Canis lupus familiaris: one gene and its partners. The protein of the gene in region 2 interacts with the protein of the main gene of each other region in a biochemical or structural test. Links are inferred from orthologs where the notes say so. Each region holds a gene or a part of one and is shown on either strand. Other genes may lie near its edges.

Region 1 (5,982 bases), on a different chromosome or scaffold from region 2:
ATACAACTTTTAGAGCTTTTTCATTTCTTCCTAGCAATAATAATACCCTGATATATTAAGGGTAATCAAAGCACTTATTAAATCACCTTTACGTTATAACTTAAAAACTTGACCAAGATTACATATCTAGTAAGTATGAAGCTGAGCCAATAGGATCAGTGAAAAATAAACAAAACATGGAAATCAAATTTCTCCAAGCTTTCTGTTTTGAAAAATCAGACTCTTTTCTCTTTTGCAGAGGGGCAGGTAAGGGGGGGCTAATTATATCCTGACCTAAGAAATTTACAAGATAAAAGTATATTACTATTAACAACATGTTTTCTTCCAGAATTTTATTAGTTAATAATATATAATTTATATCCAACTGCATATACAATTTTGAATCCTTACTGTAAGGAATAATAAATGTTTTACACTTGATTATAGTAAGTTTTCCAAAGTAATTGTAAAGTTTCATGTTCCTATCAGAAATATCAACAGTTCTGGTTGCTTCTCATCCTTACCAACACTTGATATTATCAATCTTTTAATTTTAGCCCTTAAGGTGACTATAAAATGGCAACTCATTGTAGTTTTGTTTCTCTGTAATGAAAGATATAGAGGATCTTTTCATGTGTCTGCTAGTTATTAATACGTTTTTTGAAGTATCTGTTAAAAGTTTTTGCCCATTTTTAAAAAATTGGGTTATCTTACTGTGTTCCAGAAGAACTTTATCTTGCAATTACTTTCTCCCATTCTGTTTTATCTTTTCATTTTTTTATTGCTGTCTTTCAAGAACAAAAGTTTTTAATTCTGATAAAATCCAATGTGTTTTTTTTTTAATAGTTCAAACTTTCTATATGTTATCTAAGAAACTGCCTATCCCAGTGTCACAAATGTTTTCTTATGTTTTCTAGCAATTTTATATTTTGGGCTTTTGTATTTATTCTATGCTCCACTTAAAGTTAATTTTGTGTGTAAATTGTGAGATAAGTGTCAATATTCATGTTCTTCTCTACGGATAACCCTTTGTTCCAACACTATATGTTAGAAAGAACTTTATTTCCCCATTGAATTGTGTGAAAATCTTGTCAAAAATCTAATGAATGCATATGTGTAGTTATATTTTTGTTCCACCAATTCTATTTTATCTGTCCTTTCACCAATACCACATTGTCTTATTCTTCTAGCTTACGAAGAAGTCTTAAAATCCAGAAGTGTGAACTTTCTTCACACTTCACACTTTCAAAGAAGAAAGTGTTCCAACTTTCTTCTTTATAAAAATTGCTTTAGCTATGCCATATAAATTCTGGAAGTTCTTTTTTTTTTTTTTTTTTAATTTATTTATGATAGTCACACAGAGAGAGAGAGAGAGAGAGAGAGGCAGAGACACAGGCAGAGAGAAAAGCAGGCTCCATGAACCGGAAGCCCGATGTGGGATTCGATCCCGGGTCTCCAGGATCGCGCCCTGAGCCAAAGGCAAGCGCCAAACCGCTGCGCCACCCAGGGATCCCAAATTCTGGAAGTTCTATAGACATTTTACAATCAGCTCATCCATGTTAGCCAAAGAAACTGCTAGTAATTGCATTCAATCTACCATTACATTTGTGTAGGAGTGACACCTTAATATTTTCTAGACATATCTATTAACATTACAGAATATTATCCCATATATTTAGGTCTTGAATTTCTCACAAGTTTTCAGTGTAGAGATTTTATATAGCTTCTGTAAATTTATTCCTAAGTATTTTATATCTTTGATGCTGTTACAAATAGACATTTTTACTTTATTTTTCAAATTTTGCTACTAGTATATAAGAAAGGTCATGGATTTTAAAAAATATAACCTTGGGTCCAACAATCTCGCTAAATCAGTTATAGTTCTAGTAGCTGTTTCTAGATTCTTGAAGATTTTCTGCATAAACAATCATGTCATCTGCAAACAGGAAAATTTACTTCTTCCTGTCTGATGTTAATGCCTTTTATTTCTTCTTATTCTTCTCTCCTTCCAACAATGCAAATTCATACTTTGTTACCTACCTGTTGAGTCCTTAAAGTAATTCCAAAGAGATATTCATGCCAGCCAGAAACCTCCAATAGCTATTAACCAATGATTTGCTTAAAAAGGTAATTGGCCAAAAGAAATATTGAAAAAAAATCCCAATTTTGTTAGATGAAGTAAAAACATTTATGCCAAGAGAAGAAAAATAAACGTCAAGAACTATATAATTATAAAACTAAGTAAAATCATATATACACCCTAAAATTTAAAAAAATAGAAAACTATATGAGCATTGGTAGCAGTAGAATCAAAGCTAGAATTATGAGAAAATTAATGCATGGATCCTTCCAACTTTTCATTAATTCCTCCCATCTAACAAGAAGTTACTATTTACTAAGCACTGAATGTGTACCGAGTTCTTCTAACTCTCACCAAACCCCTCTAAGTAAGCAACTAATTACATCTCTACTTTTTATAGAAAGAAATTAAGAATTGGAGAGTCTAAAGTAACCTAACTGAAGTCACAGAGGGTAAGCAGCAGAGCCAGGATATGGACTGAGACAGTTTGGGTCCAGAACCCATGAATTTTCATCTTAACTGCAATGTAAGCTATACCTCTTCTCTACTGGCTTACATAGTAGTTTGCTGAAGCTACATTAATCAAGAACAAGCAACAGCAGTTATCAGTGTCTTTTTCTTCCCAATGACTCTACCATAACATTTTGCCTTGTTCCAAAAGAAATTTAATGCTCCTGATATTTTATTAAGAAGTGGTAAAAGTAAAATACACTTACTGGTTTCGGCATTTTCCTTCTCTTTTTGTCACCTTCTTTAAAAATTGACTTTTATGAATTCTGATGTCACCTTCAGTTAAAGAAAAAAAAAGCATAATGGATCTATTACTTTTGTATAATGTCTTGATTTTAATGTAATTTATATAGAATAAAAAAAACACTTTAAACTGAGTTTAACACAAAGCTCTCTAAAAAAAAAATTAAAATAAAGTAACAGAATTCTCTTACTCCAATCTTCAATGTTCTTTTACTATCATTTCACCTTCTCTAAAAATATTTATAGCTGTGATTTAAAATAGCACACATATCAGCTGTGATTTAAAATAGCACACATATCAAACAACATAATCTAATGCATACTGATCACCAACCGAAAGTTTTGATTTACTCAGAGACCATGCATAGCAGGGAAGCAAGACCACTAAGGACCTAAATGCTGTCTCTGGCTGCGTCCAGTTCACCTCTACACCCAGCCTAGGAGACAGAGGGATAGTAAAGTGGAAGATATAGATTCAAATTCTAAAGAGATGAACTCAAGAACACTTTCAACCTTTCTTTTTTTTGCACTGCCAAAGACAAAGGAAATTATAACGTAAACTCTAAAAAGATAACTTTTTAAAGAAAATTATTTTCTTCTTGAAAGTTTAAAAATCTCAGTAAAAATATACTGAGTAGTTTATCTATGGTGTATTAAACAGCCACAGACTACATACTAGCAGTCTGCATATTACTCACCAGCAAGTTGGTGGCCTTTACTGAAATTTAGTTGTCTTTGAGACCAATGTTAAACTTTATCTTCTCCCTGTAAAGCAAAAGAAGTGAATCCTAATCCAAGAAAACCGTCATGCTATACTGTTTTAGGGTAAATGTTCTTAAAAACATCTAACCAACCAACCAAAAGATCTAACATTTTTAATCATTATTAGTTGTCCAGAAAAAAAATGATATATTATTCCAATTTGAAAACCTTCAGGGAGGTATATTCAATTATTATTTGAAAATCAGCTTCCATTGATACTATCTCTGCCAAGAAAATTCATCCATTATAGCAGCATCAACTAAATCAATACACAATTTTGTTTTAAAACTACAGTATCAATTGCTTTCTTAATATGCTACAATAAACCCGAAAATTTTCCAAGTCAAAAAAAAAAAAAAAAAAAGACAAATTATGAGAGACTCCGAATTCTGGGAAACAAGCAAGCCATTGCAGAAGGAGAGGTCGGTGGAGGGATGGGGTAACTGGGTGATGGGCATTAAGGAGGGTACATGATGAGATGAGTTGTTATACTCTATGTTGGCAAATTAACTTTAAATAAAATATAAAAAAAATAAACATCAAAGGTCGTTTCCCTAAATTTTGCTCAATTATGTGTCAATAAACCTCTCTTTAAAAGGAACTTCTATCTGAGATAGTTTTTATCTAATAATTCAACTATGAAATTCACTTCCCTAACTCTTACCTAGGAAATGTTAATACTTCCTCCACACAGTCACCTACTTTCAGAAACCTAAATGTACTTCAGACCTAATCTTTTCATTCTATATCCTCTTTTCATCCCGCTACTGCCTTAGTTCAGATCCTTATCACTTCAGGTCTTAAAACATCCTCAAAACTGACCTGCTTTTCACATCATTTATAAGTTAGTAATTCCCAAATCTGTATCTGAACTTGCTTGGTTAACTTGCCTTACTCAATGTCTACATTATTTCAGATGTAACATGGCTGAAACATTTAAATCTCTACCCAAATCTAATTTTCTACAAGTCTTGGTGCATATTTCTAGAAAGTTATCATAGTATTCCCTCGTGATTTTTTTTATATCTATTAGCAGTTATGATCCTCTCTTCATTCCTAATACTATTAAATGTTACCTTCTCTTTTGCTTGTTAATCTTGCCAGAAGTTTGCTTAGTTTATTTTTTTTAAGATTTTATTTATTTATTCATGAGAGACAGACTGAGAGAGAGGCAGAGACACAGGCAGAGGGAGAAGCAGGCTCCATGCGGGGAGCCCGATGTGGGACTCGATCCCGGGACTCCAGGATCACGCGGCGTTCTGGGCAGAAGGCAGGCACTAAACTGCTGAGCCACCCAGGGATCCCCAGTTTATTGGTTTAAAAGCCAGCTTTTAGTTTCGTTGATCTTCTGTTTCTTTTTTGTTCTTTTTTTGTTAATTTCTCTTTCCTCATCACTTTTCATTTCGTTAGTTGGCTTTACTCTGTGGCTCATTTTCTAATCCCTAAAATTAAAACTTTAGGTAATTCCCAATTTGTTTTCTTTTCTAGTATGTGCATCAAGGTCATAAACTGAGTACGTCCAAGTATAAGGCAACTCCATATATAAAGTATCCTATTTTGTCGAGAATATTTAAAAATAATCTTTATCATTTGAATATATAAGGTAATCAAGTATGTATTTATAACATTAGTATACTTAAATACTAAAAACACATGATCTATAAAATATTGAAATATTTTTTGATTTTCATAGAACATAGAATTTCTTTAAAAATCCTCACACAAATGAGACAGATTATACAAGCACTTTTTGAATCAATATATAATACTATTACTAAAATTTTTATCCCAAACCACACCATCTATTCATATAAAAACACTGGGAAGTTTTTTTCCTATTTGTACTGTTGGAATATATTTTAGGGTGACGGGCACTGAGGGGAGCACTTGATGGGATGAGCACTGGGTGTTATTCTGTATGTTGATAAATCGAACACCAATAAAAAATAAATTTATTATTAAAAAATATTTTTAAAAATAACATTTTACAATTTAAAAAATATATGTCAAAGAATCATTTGATGGAAATTATTTCAATACAAGCCAGGAATTTACATGCCATGCGTCAACCTGGTTTAGACCATCTAACAATGGATGTTCTGGAATATTGAAAGGAGACAAACAGCAGTGTCAAATGGGAGAATAGGAGAGACATCTTAACCATGCCTGATTCCAAATAGAAGTTTTCCTTAAAATTTTTTAAATATTTATTTTCCACCTAAAAATTCTGTGTTTAAACTACCTTTTATATATTCGATGCTAAAATTTTTAACTTTAATTTTTTTACACTTAGGCATAACACAAAAATGTATCTGTCCTCACACAACTTGAAATCTATTGTGATTTACATAATTTTTCATAAAAACTCATAGCAGGCCTAATAAAGTTTTAATAGGTTTAAAAAAAAA
Region 2 (5,876 bases):
TCGGCCGCTGGCTCTGTCCGACGAGGGCTGTGTGCTGGGGCCCCGGGCTCCTGCACCACCCCCTGGGACAGAGAAGGCAGAGGCGTGAGGACACCTGGCCTCCCACATGGGAATGGAGGCAACTTCAGTTTTGGCAATTTGGCTTTCCCCAAGCCCCTGGAGCCACCCCCACTGCCCTGGCCAGGGGAGGGGGCTGGCTAGGCCCTGGTGGGCAGGGGAGCAGCAGCAGCACATCCCACACACCTCCCCGGGCCACGGGGATTGCGGAGGGGGCAAGGACCGGGGGAGACCACATGCTCATGCAGACACGGGGGGGTTAGAGGTTAGTGACGGCCCCCACAGCACACGTTCCACATGTTAAGGCATCATGGTTAGACGGTTATGGACAGCGATGGATGAACTGACTGGGGACAGGTGAAAGCAGGAGGGTGGCTGGCCCCCAAAAGGCCTCGAATCATGCACCCCACCCCACCCCCACCCCGGAAGAAGAGAAAGAACAGGATTCAGGGCTACTGCGAAGGCCCACAGGGACCCGAGCACCCCCACGAGATTCCCTCGGAAAAGCCAGGGCCTCAGGTCAGGTGAGGACAGGTGGGGGAACATGAAGGGGTACGGAAGGGGAGGTGGGGGCCTGGCCTGGAGGCTCCCTCCCCCCTCCCCCCCCCAGCACAGGCAGAAGCAGCAAGGCGAGACCACCGAGGAGGCTGGGGCCTGCGGGGTGGGGCCGGGAGGGATGGGAAGGGTAGGCCAGGGAGAGCAGACCCGTCAGCACTTTGGTAAGGGGTTGGGATGGGGTGGGGGCAGTAGGGGTGGGGCGTGTCAGACAGGTCCGTCTGTCTGTCCGAAGGCCTGCCCGCCTCCCAGGCCAGGGCTCAGTCCTTCCATTCCTTTTTGATGGTAAGGTTCCACTCCCAGGACAGGTGGTCAGTCTTGTCGTCGTCTGTGAAGCGGGACTTGATGTTGTAGCTGCCGCGAGCCAACATACCCTTGGGTGCCTCCTCCATGGGGGTCAGAAACTCGTACTCCTCTGCCCGGGGCCCGTAGCTCCCCACCATGTAGTCGGTCTTGTCAACTGTGTGCAGGAGACACACTGGTCACCGGTGCTCCCGATCCCACCAGGGCTAAGGGCACACACCACCATCTTCCTCTCCCTCCTGGTCCCAGAGCCCTGGGCGGCCACCTCCACCCTGCCCCCTCCCACAGGCCACCTAAGTGGTGCCACGCCATCTCGGGGGCAGGGCCAACCCCCGACTCACTCTTGACGCCTTTCCTGTACGTGTGCTGGATGTACTTCATGCCCGACACAATCTCCCGGTTCACCTGCAGGGGGAGAACCCAGGCAGAGCTCGGTGGGGCCCTCCAGGCCCGACACCTCCCAGCTCCTCCCACAGCCTCTGCCTTACTCGGAAAGAGATCTTTATCCGGTACTCCACGCCCTCCTTCAGCACAAAGGACTGCTTCTTGAAGCTCTCCAGGTCCCCTGTGCCCAAGAAGATTGCACTAAAAGGCTCAGCTGCAGGAAGCTGCCCACCTCAGCATCTCCCATCTGCAGCGCCTGGCGCTCCTTCGGCCCCCACCCTGACCCCACCCGCCGCCCAGGTCCCTCCAAAGCCAGAGCCTGCAGACTTCCTGGTTGCGCTTCTCGCGCCCCCCACAAGGGGGCACCCGCGTTCCGAGAACTAGTTTCAGCGGAAACAGCAGGGTGGCAGGCGGGAGGACCTCAGTGATGCCACTCACCTGTCAGGTCCAGCTCCAGGGGGCCCGGGGCTGTGCTACACACCAGGGTCAGGCGGGTCACAACAACATTGGGGACGTTGGGGTCTGCGGAGGGAGAGTGGGTTGGAGTGCCTCCCCACCTCCCACTTGCTGGAGGCTGGGGGGTGGGGCTGGCGGCTGAAACCCAGAAGTGACAAGCATCCCTTTTGGTGCTGCCTCAGCCCACTTACCAGCAGACACGGCTACGCGGCCCAACAGGGCCTCCTTGTACTTGCGCAGGCTCTCGTCATCCTTGTCCAGCTCCTGGATCTCCTGGATGCTCTTCTGGGCAGGGGGCTTGTAGTTGACAGAGTGCTCATCCTCCTCGTTCTCAGCTGCGATCTGCGCGAGCTGCTCAGCTGTGGGCTCTTGCTCAGCCATGCTCACTCCTAGCTGGTCTGGGACACCTGTGGGCAGGGACAGGGCTGTGTCAGCCTGAAGGGACGCACATCTCCCTCTCCTGCCTCTCAGCAAGCCCCCCCGCTGGTGCAGGTGCGCTGTACTGAAGGGCCCTCTGCAGGTAACCCGGCCCCTTGTCTGGGCACAAGGGGATGTAAGCCTTCGGGAGGAAAGCAACTGCAGACTCAGCTTCACCCCCCAAACAGGCTCCTAAGGCCCAGAGAGGGCCACACTCCTTGCCCTGCCCACCTCGGGGACCTGCTGGAAACTGGGACAGAGCACCCAGAACCAAGTGGGGCCTGCAACCCGCTCCTTGAAAAGACCAGGCATCCCTCTCCCAAGCCTGGGGGAGAAGACAGCACTCCCAGCCCCGACAGGGAGGGGTCACCTCTGAAGTCCTGAGATTCTTCTGCAGCTGCCCAGACTCTCTCCCCAAGCGACACCTCCTCCTGGGTCTCCCTGACCAAACACACTCCCTGGGCCCGGTTCTAACAGGGAAGCAAGTCCCCACAGCGCAGCTCTGGTGACCCGGCCAGCCCGAGTCCCACAGGTGGGTCCCGGCCCCTCACCAGGAGCCCTAAGTACCCGCCAACCTCTTCTCCAACGGCCAGGGTACGTGAGCCACGATTTGGGAAGCGCGGCAGTGCCCACATGGTCTCAAGATCCTCCTCCGGGATCCTGGCCCCGGGCGGCTCGGACAGCGTGCCCCGGGACACGGAAGCCCGCTCGGGTCCTCCGGGCGGCGCGGGAGGTGGGCCGGGGCCCTGGCCCCCTAGACCTCGGCCTGCCCGTCCCCACGGACCGGCGGGCCGCCTGGGGTCGCCTGGGGCGGCCCGAGCCCCACAAAGGACCGCCGCCGGCGGGGTGGGGCCAGCCGCTGTTCCAGGCCTCCCGGCCGCTTCCTCTGGAATTCCTCTAGAAGGCTCACGCCCTGACGCCACCCAAGTGTGGCCGCGGGGGACAGGATCCTCCGAGAGCGATGGCCGCGGCCCACACTTCCTTCCGCAGCGCTCCGCAATCTGGGCGGGCGGGCGCGCCGCGCGGGGAGGGGTGCTCGGGACCACGCCGCCGTGAGGGCGCCGCGCCCGCCATCCCCGGGGAGGGGGCGCCGGCCAGTCTGCCGGCGAGCAGCGGCGCGGACGGGGGCGCCGCGGGACACGGGCGGTGGCCCCCGAGGAGGCCCGCGCCCACCCCGGCGAGCGGCGCGAACAAAGGCGCGGCACCCCCGGCCCCGCGGCGCCCGCCCTCCCGGTCCCGCCCCGCCCCGCCTCGCCCTGCCCGCCGCCGCCGCCGCCGCCGCTCACCGGAGGCTCGACCGCGCCGCTCTCGCGCTCCCTCCCGCACGGAATGACGAACGTCGCCGCCCCGCCCGCGCGCGCCCGGCCGGCCACTTCCGGGGTCACGCGACTTCCGCTCGCGCCGGGCGGACGGCGGAGGGCGGACGGCGCATGCGCGCGCACGGGCCGCCGGGAGCGCGCCGCCGCCATCTTGTGGAGCCGGCCTCCGTGGGCGCGTCCGCGGGGGCGGGGCCGGGGCCGCTCGCGGGGCGCCGGGTGCTCTCCGGTGCGGGGCGTCCCCGGGTCCCGGCGCGGCGGAGGGGGGTCCGGCCCCGAGGCGCTCCTCGCAGCCTAATCCGGAAGCTCCCGGTGCGGCCGGCCCGGTCGCTTCCGCCCGCCCTTCCCCGAGGCCGGCAGGTGTCCGAATGAGCCGCGCGCGCCGCCGAGCCCCGGCAGGTGCCGCCCCCCCCCCCCGCGCCCCGCCCTCGGCCCGGCGCTCGGCCCCGCGCGGCACCTGTGCGGAGGGAACTGAAGGCAAGCTACGAACCTGGCTACCGGTTTGGAGATATTTTTTAGTACCGGGGGAATATGTGCAGATTTTGCGTGACGTAGGAGCCGCGCGCCGGCTGTGTGTGCAGAGCCTCGGCTGTGTGTGCAGAGCCTCGTGGTGAGCGCCTCGGTGTGCTGCTCTCCCGCTTCCCCTGTGCAAGCCCGCACCCGGCCCGCCGCCCTACACGCCCAGCGGCTGGGAGAGGAAAAGGTCGGCTTGCAGATCACCCAAGTGCTTTTGAAAAACAAAACAAAAAGTAAAAAAAACCAGCTGTAGGAAAATTCAAACACATTTTATACGTGATCTATTACAGTGTAAAAACGTTCCCATGGTATTTAGCAGCTTGACACAGCAGTTCTACGGCTGAGATCAGGGAGCTGCTTGGCAGGCGGCCCTGGCTCCTGGTCTGTGAGGTCGCAGGCCAGCCGCCAGCCAGAGCCCCGGTCCCTAGGCTCTTGCAGATGCTATGAACAGGAGTCTGGTTCCTCCTGCGCTGGAGGACTCAGTGCCACCTGGCACTCCCAACCTCTCCAGAGGGCTGCCCACAGCAAGGTAGCTGACTTGTCCCAGGTGAGGCCTCAGAGGCGGACAGATGGACCATGGACAGAGGACAAGAGCCGGGAAACAGCAAGCACTGGAGGCGAAGCTGCACTGGCTCTTAGAAGCTGAATCTCAGAAGCAAGGTCCCTGGTGCTCTGCTCACACAGACCTGCCCCAGGACAGTGTAGGAGGGGCCACGGGGTGAGAAGACGGGCCGGCCAGGCCGTCGGGCCCTGTCTTGCAGGTGCCCCACCACATGCACCAAAGTCCAAAGAAGAGTACTGTGAACCCGGTGGGCTTGGCAGCTAGCTTCAGCAGTTAGCAGCCTGCGGCCTTTCTTCCACCTGTGCCCTCCCTCCTCCCCCACACACAGCAGGTTTGAAGCAAACCTCAGAGGTGACGGCGACCATAAATCTTCTAGCATGTGTTTATTTCAGAGGAAGGGGATCCCTTCTGGCCACCGCACCCTTATCCACCTGTTGCAGGATCTACCGCCGGGTAAGGAACAGCTCAGTGGACTGGCTCGGAGCAGCAACCTGCAGCTGCCTCTGCTGTTCTGTGGGCTGCTCGAGCATAGCCGGAGCTCTCCTGCCGTTGCCGTCAGGTCAGGTCCATGCTGGAGCCCCCCCCCACTCCGGGCCAGCGCTCAGCCGAGGCTGCCAGCCCCAGGCCCTTCCACACAACTCCTGTGGGGTTTTGGCAGCTGGATTCCAAGGGCAGGTGTTCTGAGAGGCCTGCTCACAAGTCTCGGTGGGAACCCACTGGTCAGTGCCAGAAACCAAACTTTGGCAGCTTTTCACTAGTCAAGCCCAAGACATGAGTCCTCCTGGGTGAAGGGCAGGACATTAGATTCCACCTCTTTCAAGGAAGAAAAGCAATCACCGTGTGGCCTCCTGATCCAACCAAATGACTCGCATTCCTCTCCTATAAACATGTGGCCTCCCAAGACCCCCAGAAGTCTCATCCCCTTTTGACTTCAGCTCAGGTGCAGGGGAGAGTGGCGCTGGGGTGCGGCTTCTCTTAATCTGAAAATTGAGGCCCAAGAACCGGAAGCCCTGCCCCACATCACCAGATAAACCATCCCATCTCCCTCCCTGACCTACACAATCTGGGAGTGTGATATAAAATGGTGTTGGTTTTGCACTAAGTTTTGGGTAATTTCTTATAAAGCAACTGACACTGGAACACCAACCAGGAAAAAGAACAACAGTCCTAAACATCATTAAAGATCCAAACGGGGACGCCCGGGTGGCTCAGGGGTTGAGTGCCTGCCTTTGACTCCGGGCGTGATCCTGGGGTCCTGAGATTGAGACCCGCATCAGGCTCCCCATGGGGAGCCTGCTTCTCCCCATGAA
Region 3 (5,686 bases), on a different chromosome or scaffold from region 2:
GGTATTTTTCACACTGAACTAAAACAATTTCCTGGAAAGCAATGTCTAAATTAGACACTGGGATGATGAGACCACTTGCCCAATCTGGAGTGAACGTAGGGGGGCTTCAGGTCACTCACTCCCAGCTTCTGGTCAACCAAAGTCAAAGCAACACTATTAAAAATGTTTAGAAACATCTGAATGTGAGATGCTGTCTTACCGAAGCTGAGAGAAAATCTTGGGGGCAGAGATCCCCCAAGTCAAAGTAAAAGACCCTGTGTTCAGGAAGGACTAACAGAATTAGGACCAAGAGAAGGATCTGCAGAATTAAACAGTATCAAAATGTCACTTCACATTTTATACTTAATGCCAGTGAACTGCTATATAGGAAATAATTTATAAGAATATAGGCTAATTAGGGATCCCTCGGTGGCTCAGCGGTTTGGCGCCTGCCTCCAAGGCATGATCCTGGAGACCCGGGATCCAGTCCCATAACGGGCTCCCTGCATGGGGCCTGCTTCTCCCTCTGCCTGTGTCTCTGCCTCTCTCTGTCTCTCTCATGAATGAATAAATAAAATCTTAAAAAAAAAAAAAAAAAAAAAGAATATAGGCTAGTTGATCCTACTTATAATATGGTTATGATATAACTTTTAACCTAATTCCCAAGAATATTTTTTAGATAAGGAAGCTTGCAATTTGTGCAGCTTCAATTTGCCTTTATTGCTTAAACTCCCCTTAACTACAAGTCCCACAGCACTGAGTTCTTTGCCCCACAAAATTTACACCCACGTTTACAGCTTTAACAATTTTTGAATAAAAGAACATTCCAAGTATATCATCAGGTATGTTTTGTTTGGGTCAAAGCAAAAAAATATTTTTGGTTTGGAAAGTCATGTATGTAACTTTTTCACTGAAGTAATGTTTGCTGTATGTTGTCCCTTATTTAAAGTAATAGAGGGGGCAACTGGCTGGCTCAGTTGGAGGAACGTGCAACTCTTGGATCTCAAGGTCCTGAGGTTGAGTCCCACATTGAGTGTAGAGATTACTTAAATAAATGAATAAATCTTTAAAAAATAAATAAACAGAGCTTGAATTGTTTACTTCTAACAGGGCTTTGCCCCAGTCTACATCAATGTCAAATACAGTACCAAATAAATCGAATGAAAACTTAAAGCCAAGAATTGTTTTATGCTTTGGACCTCCCACACAGGGCCCAACAGTGCCTCAGATTAAGAGAAAGAGCAACACTATATGAGGCTGGCTGCCTGCACTTTCTCACCTGGGGCCAGGCACCTGGGAGGCACTTAGTATTCAGCATCTTGTTTATTTTTTTTTTTAAGATTTATGTATTTATTCATTCATGAGACAGACTGAGAAAGAGAGGCAGAGACACAAGGAGAGGGAGAAGCAGGCTCTCTGCAGGGAGCCTGATCCCCGATCCCAGGATCTCGACCAGAGCTGGAGCCGGGCAGGCACCACTGAAACACCCAGGCGTCCCCCAGCAACTTGTTTAATCCTCGCCACTTCAACTTGAGGTCCCTGTCCTGGGAGAGGAGTGTGAATATGCCCAGGTTCCTCCCTAATCATTGGGAGTGGGGATTCGAAGTAAGGATCCAGATCCCACAACAGGCATTCAACAAGTATGTGACTAGATACACAAGGCAATACAAATCTTCGGGGTCCATCATCTGTAAGCATTAAGTAGGTCTGCTGTGCTTATGTTTAGTTTCAGAAATTTTCAATTAAGAATATTACATTCTAGGGCACCTGGGTGGCTCTGTCAGGTAAGTGTCTGCCTTCCTCTCAGGTCGTGATCCCAGGGTCCTGGGTTCAAGTGGCGCATCCGGCTCCCTGCTTGGCATGGAGCCTGCCTCTCTCTTTCCCTCTCCCTCTGCCACTCCCCCTGCTTGTGCTCTCTCTGTCAAATAAATAAAAATCTTAAAAAAAAAAAAAAAGAATATTACATTCTAAAGTTAGATACTGAATTATCAGCAATTTAAAAAAAACAGCATTATTTCATACTCTAAGCATTACAGATTCAGCATTTTTAAATTTTTAAAGGAAATGCAGTTAAAGTGTTCATAAGACAATGTGATATATGTGTAGTTAACTCATTACACAAAAGGATCAAATTTCATTTAAACCAATGTACTGATTTCCCTATTAAACTAATTAACTGAAGTTTTTGGACCCCAAATGAAAGAAAAGCTTTCTTTTCAAGGGTTTAAAAAACAAAAACAAAAAACATACATATTCCTAAATAGGTGAGAGTCATAATTTTTAGCTATATGCACAGAACCATGAAGTGTTAATAACGTTTCACACGTTGAAGACTGACAAATCACACAGATGGGCATCTTTTAAAAAATTAGTTCAACTGTCCTTACATCTGAAATAGTTGTAGCAACAGTTTCAAAATGTCTAATTTACAACAATCTAAATGAGCTAATTCACAACTTGGGAGGCATAAAAGCCACATCAGTCCTAATGACAAGTTTGGGGAATATTAATCAAAAGGAAGAGCGATGCCAGAACTCTTCCTTCGATTTTACAAGACTTGAAAAATGTACCAATTACACTGAGTTTGATGAAACTGATAGTAATTCTTGGATCTTCGCTGTTAACACTCAACTAACTCGAGCACTGCTGAGATACACAATTTTGCTCGGATTACACTGAGATTTTTGTTTCTATGGGAGGGGAAAAAAAAACTGCATAAGCCAAGTCTTGTCTTCCTCTAGGGCCTTGTAACCACCACAGACAGTAATGAAAAGAAATGCCTTGAGTCACAGGGCAGCTCCGCTCAGGGAGCCTGTTCTGCTACATCCCATACCTAATGCAAGCAGCGAAAGCAAATTTCTTTCTTTCTCTCTTCCTTTTTTTTTTATGACCACACCACATTCAGAGAAAAGATCAGTCTTAATCACACCTAGCTTCTCGTAGCTAGAATCCCAAAAGTTTCTCCAAGGAAAGTACAAGAATTATCACCAAAGGGAGGGAAAAATCTTAAAAGCGGCTAAGTACAAGCGGAAGATACGGGAAATCAGTTTGGGGTCGCCAAACCAGCCCAGGCAAATACTCAAGAACTATCGACCTGGTCGCCGGGACACACGGAAGCTTATAACCGGGCTCCAGAGGCTGATGTAAAAACCCAGAAAGGGTCCTTCCCCGCCCCCCCTTAGAGAAAGAAAGGCAACTCCAAGCCCACCGCTGTAGGGGCGGACGAGCGCGGGTGGCGGCGCGGCTGGGGGGTCCCGCCCCGCGCGCAGCGGGCCCAGAAGGCGGGAGGGTGGAGTTCACTTTTCCCTCCGGCCGCCGCTCGGCGACTCCCTCCCCCATCAGAAAAAAAAGAAAAAAGAAAAAAGGCAAAGAAAAAAAAAAAAAAGAGCCGGAACCAGGCCCCGTGCCTCCCAGTCCCGGAGGGAGTGAGTGGTGGCCCGCGCCCCGCGGAGAGGCCGGCTCCGGGCCCGCGAGAGCCCGCCCGGCCCGGCCCCCAGGCCCCACCCTCGGCCTCGGCCCCCGGCCCCCGGCCCCCGGCCCCCGGCCCCGGCCCGCGCACTCACCCGTCTCCCACCACCACACACTTGATGGCCTGCATCTGGGCCGCTCGCTGGGCCGCGGCGGCGGCGGGCGGGCGCTGACGCGAGAAGCGGCGGGCTCGGGGCGCCGCGGGCGGGCGCGCGGCTGCAGGCGGCAGGGCGCGGGGTGCCGGGGCCGCTGTCCACGCCGCCTCGCCTTCCGCCGACGGAAAGCCGGAGCCCAGCCGCGGCCACCACCCAAAGCTGGGGGAAAACTGCGGAGAAACAGGAAATGGCCGCTCCACTCACATCCGGTCTCCCCTCCCCCGCGCCGGCGCGCCGCTCCCAGGCTCCGGGGCGGGGCCGCTCCTGCCCGCGCGGCTCCCGGGCTTCCTGCCGGGTTCGGGGACGTTCGGGAGCGCTCGGACGCGCTCGGCTGGGGCCCGCTCGGCTCCAGAGGGTGGTAAGAGATGGGGGCGCGGGGGCGGGGGCGGGGGCGGGGGCGGGCCGGCCGCCATGTTTGTGCCACCTGGCGAAGGGCATGAGTCTAGACTTCTGTGAGAACTCTGAGGGGAGGACGAGATTCTGCCAGAAAATTCAGAACCTAAATTTCTAAGGAAGCAAATGCCACACGCTCTACCATTTTCCAAAGATAACTTCTGCTCATTGAGCCAAAAATGTTGAAATTTCTTCCCTTATGTGTGCGTTGTCCGTTTCCGGTGCGTTGAGCGTTTACTAGTTCCACGCCTTATACCAAGTTCTGGAGTTGATGTTACCAGACCATTAAAGTGCCAATATTTTGGTATTTTTTCCTCTGAGTTGTTTTTTGTTTTTAAGTAGGTCCCGTGTCCACTCTGGGGCCTAGACTCATAACCCTGAGGTCAGGAGTCACATGCTCCGCCAACTGAGCCAGCCAGGTGCCCCTCTTGGCTAGTTCTTTATGTGTGTAAAGATATGTTTTAAAGAAGGTTGGAGGGATCCCTGGGTGGCGCAGTGGTTTGGCGCCTGCCTTTGGCCCAGGGCGCGATCCTGGAGACCCGGGATCGAATCCCACGTCGGGCTCCCGGTGCATGGAGCCTGCTTCTCCCTCTGCCTGTGTCTCTGCCTCTCTCTTTCTCTCTCTCTATCATAAATATTTAAAAAAATAAAGTTGGAAAAATACCTAACCCTTAGGACATTTTTAACGGCCAATTACTGTTCACTCCCATTGTGCTCGTGGCCCTCACCCAATGTCTCTGTTATTGAGCGGCTGAGTTGTCCCTGTTTGAGAAACCATGCTGGGCTGGGCGTGTTTGTGACAAAAAATTCACAACTTGATTTCTTTAGACTATACGCCCCAAACTGGAGTTACTGGGGTAGCAGGAGTGAGCGTTTTTTAAAGCTTTGGTATTTATTGTTGCATTGCCCTCCTGCAAGGTAGTAACGGGTTCACGGTCCCATCGGCTCTGAGAATAGACTCTCCAGGGGAGTTGATTTCCAATGACATTTCCATCTCCTAGGCCTTCTTTTCCTGAAATTCACTCTGTTGCTCAGTACTGTAACAGTGTTCTGAAATCACACTTCTACACGGGTTTGGTTTGGTTTGGTTTTTAAAGCATCTTTTGCTTGCTGTTATTTCAAAACAAACATGTTCCCAGGGCAAAGGACATCTCCTTTTTGCTCTGTTCATGAAGATCTTCCTTAAGGAGAAGTTGAAACTTCAAGGATAGTAGAGCAACATCGTCCCCTTTGCTGTTAAAAATTTCCAGTAAATCTATGACAAACGAAACCACTCGGTATAATTACCTCTGTGTTTCTAGACCAGGAGCAAATAAAAGGGTGGGGCCTTCGGTCAATAATTCAATTGAACAAACATTTGAGTGCTGCTGTTGCGTAATGGACTGATAGTAAATGAACCAGATAAGGATATAGTTGCCAGGATACCAGGCTCACTGTTCTTAGTGCTGTGAGTGGGGTACAAATATAGTGCTAATCAGGGAGCAAGAAGTCTACTCACACTGATTTAAAAAGGCTTTCATCAAGCAGATGAGAATGGAAACATGCCACTGAGTAGGATTTTTGGTGTGTCTTGATGGAATGAGAAGAAAAGATCTATCCACAGGGAGAACAAAGTCTTGGGAGTTACAGAGTTGGGGCCATCCTCAGATGTGACTTGGAGGGAGCTACACCTTTGAGCTGCTCCAGGTCTA

Evidence for each region.
Region 1: the proteins of ARHGDIA (region 2) and RDX form a complex in vitro, tested with the Homo sapiens proteins (2 studies listed by BioGRID and IntAct). The link is inferred for Canis lupus familiaris from reciprocal best matches to the Homo sapiens genes ARHGDIA and RDX.
Region 3: the proteins of ARHGDIA (region 2) and RAC1 are reported together in a solved structure, tested with the Homo sapiens proteins (2 studies listed by BioGRID and IntAct, with this or other methods). The link is inferred for Canis lupus familiaris from reciprocal best matches to the Homo sapiens genes ARHGDIA and RAC1.

Annotation. Positions count from the first base shown.
Region 1 is NC_049226.1:22,603,068-22,609,049, reverse strand, and holds the start of RDX (radixin), read right to left. Parts: upstream 3,578-5,982; 5' UTR 3,511-3,577; intron 2,846-3,510; 5' UTR 2,788-2,845; coding exon 2,776-2,787; intron 1-2,775. UniProt on the Homo sapiens protein: Probably plays a crucial role in the binding of the barbed end of actin filaments to the plasma membrane.
Region 2 is NC_049230.1:1,241,081-1,246,956, reverse strand, and holds ARHGDIA (rho GDP-dissociation inhibitor 1), read right to left. Parts: upstream 3,588-5,876; 5' UTR 3,459-3,587; intron 2,886-3,458; exon of another isoform or gene 2,748-2,885; intron 2,163-2,747; 5' UTR 2,137-2,162; coding exon 1,947-2,136; intron 1,822-1,946; coding exon 1,738-1,821; intron 1,481-1,737; coding exon 1,404-1,480; intron 1,321-1,403; coding exon 1,257-1,320; intron 1,073-1,256; coding exon 873-1,072; 3' UTR 702-872; downstream 1-701. UniProt on the Homo sapiens protein: Controls Rho proteins homeostasis. Regulates the GDP/GTP exchange reaction of the Rho proteins by inhibiting the dissociation of GDP from them, and the subsequent binding of GTP to them.
Region 3 is NC_049227.1:11,814,966-11,820,651, reverse strand, and holds the start of RAC1 (ras-related C3 botulinum toxin substrate 1 precursor), read right to left. Parts: upstream 3,578-5,686; coding exon 3,543-3,577; intron 1-3,542. UniProt on the Homo sapiens protein: Plasma membrane-associated small GTPase which cycles between active GTP-bound and inactive GDP-bound states.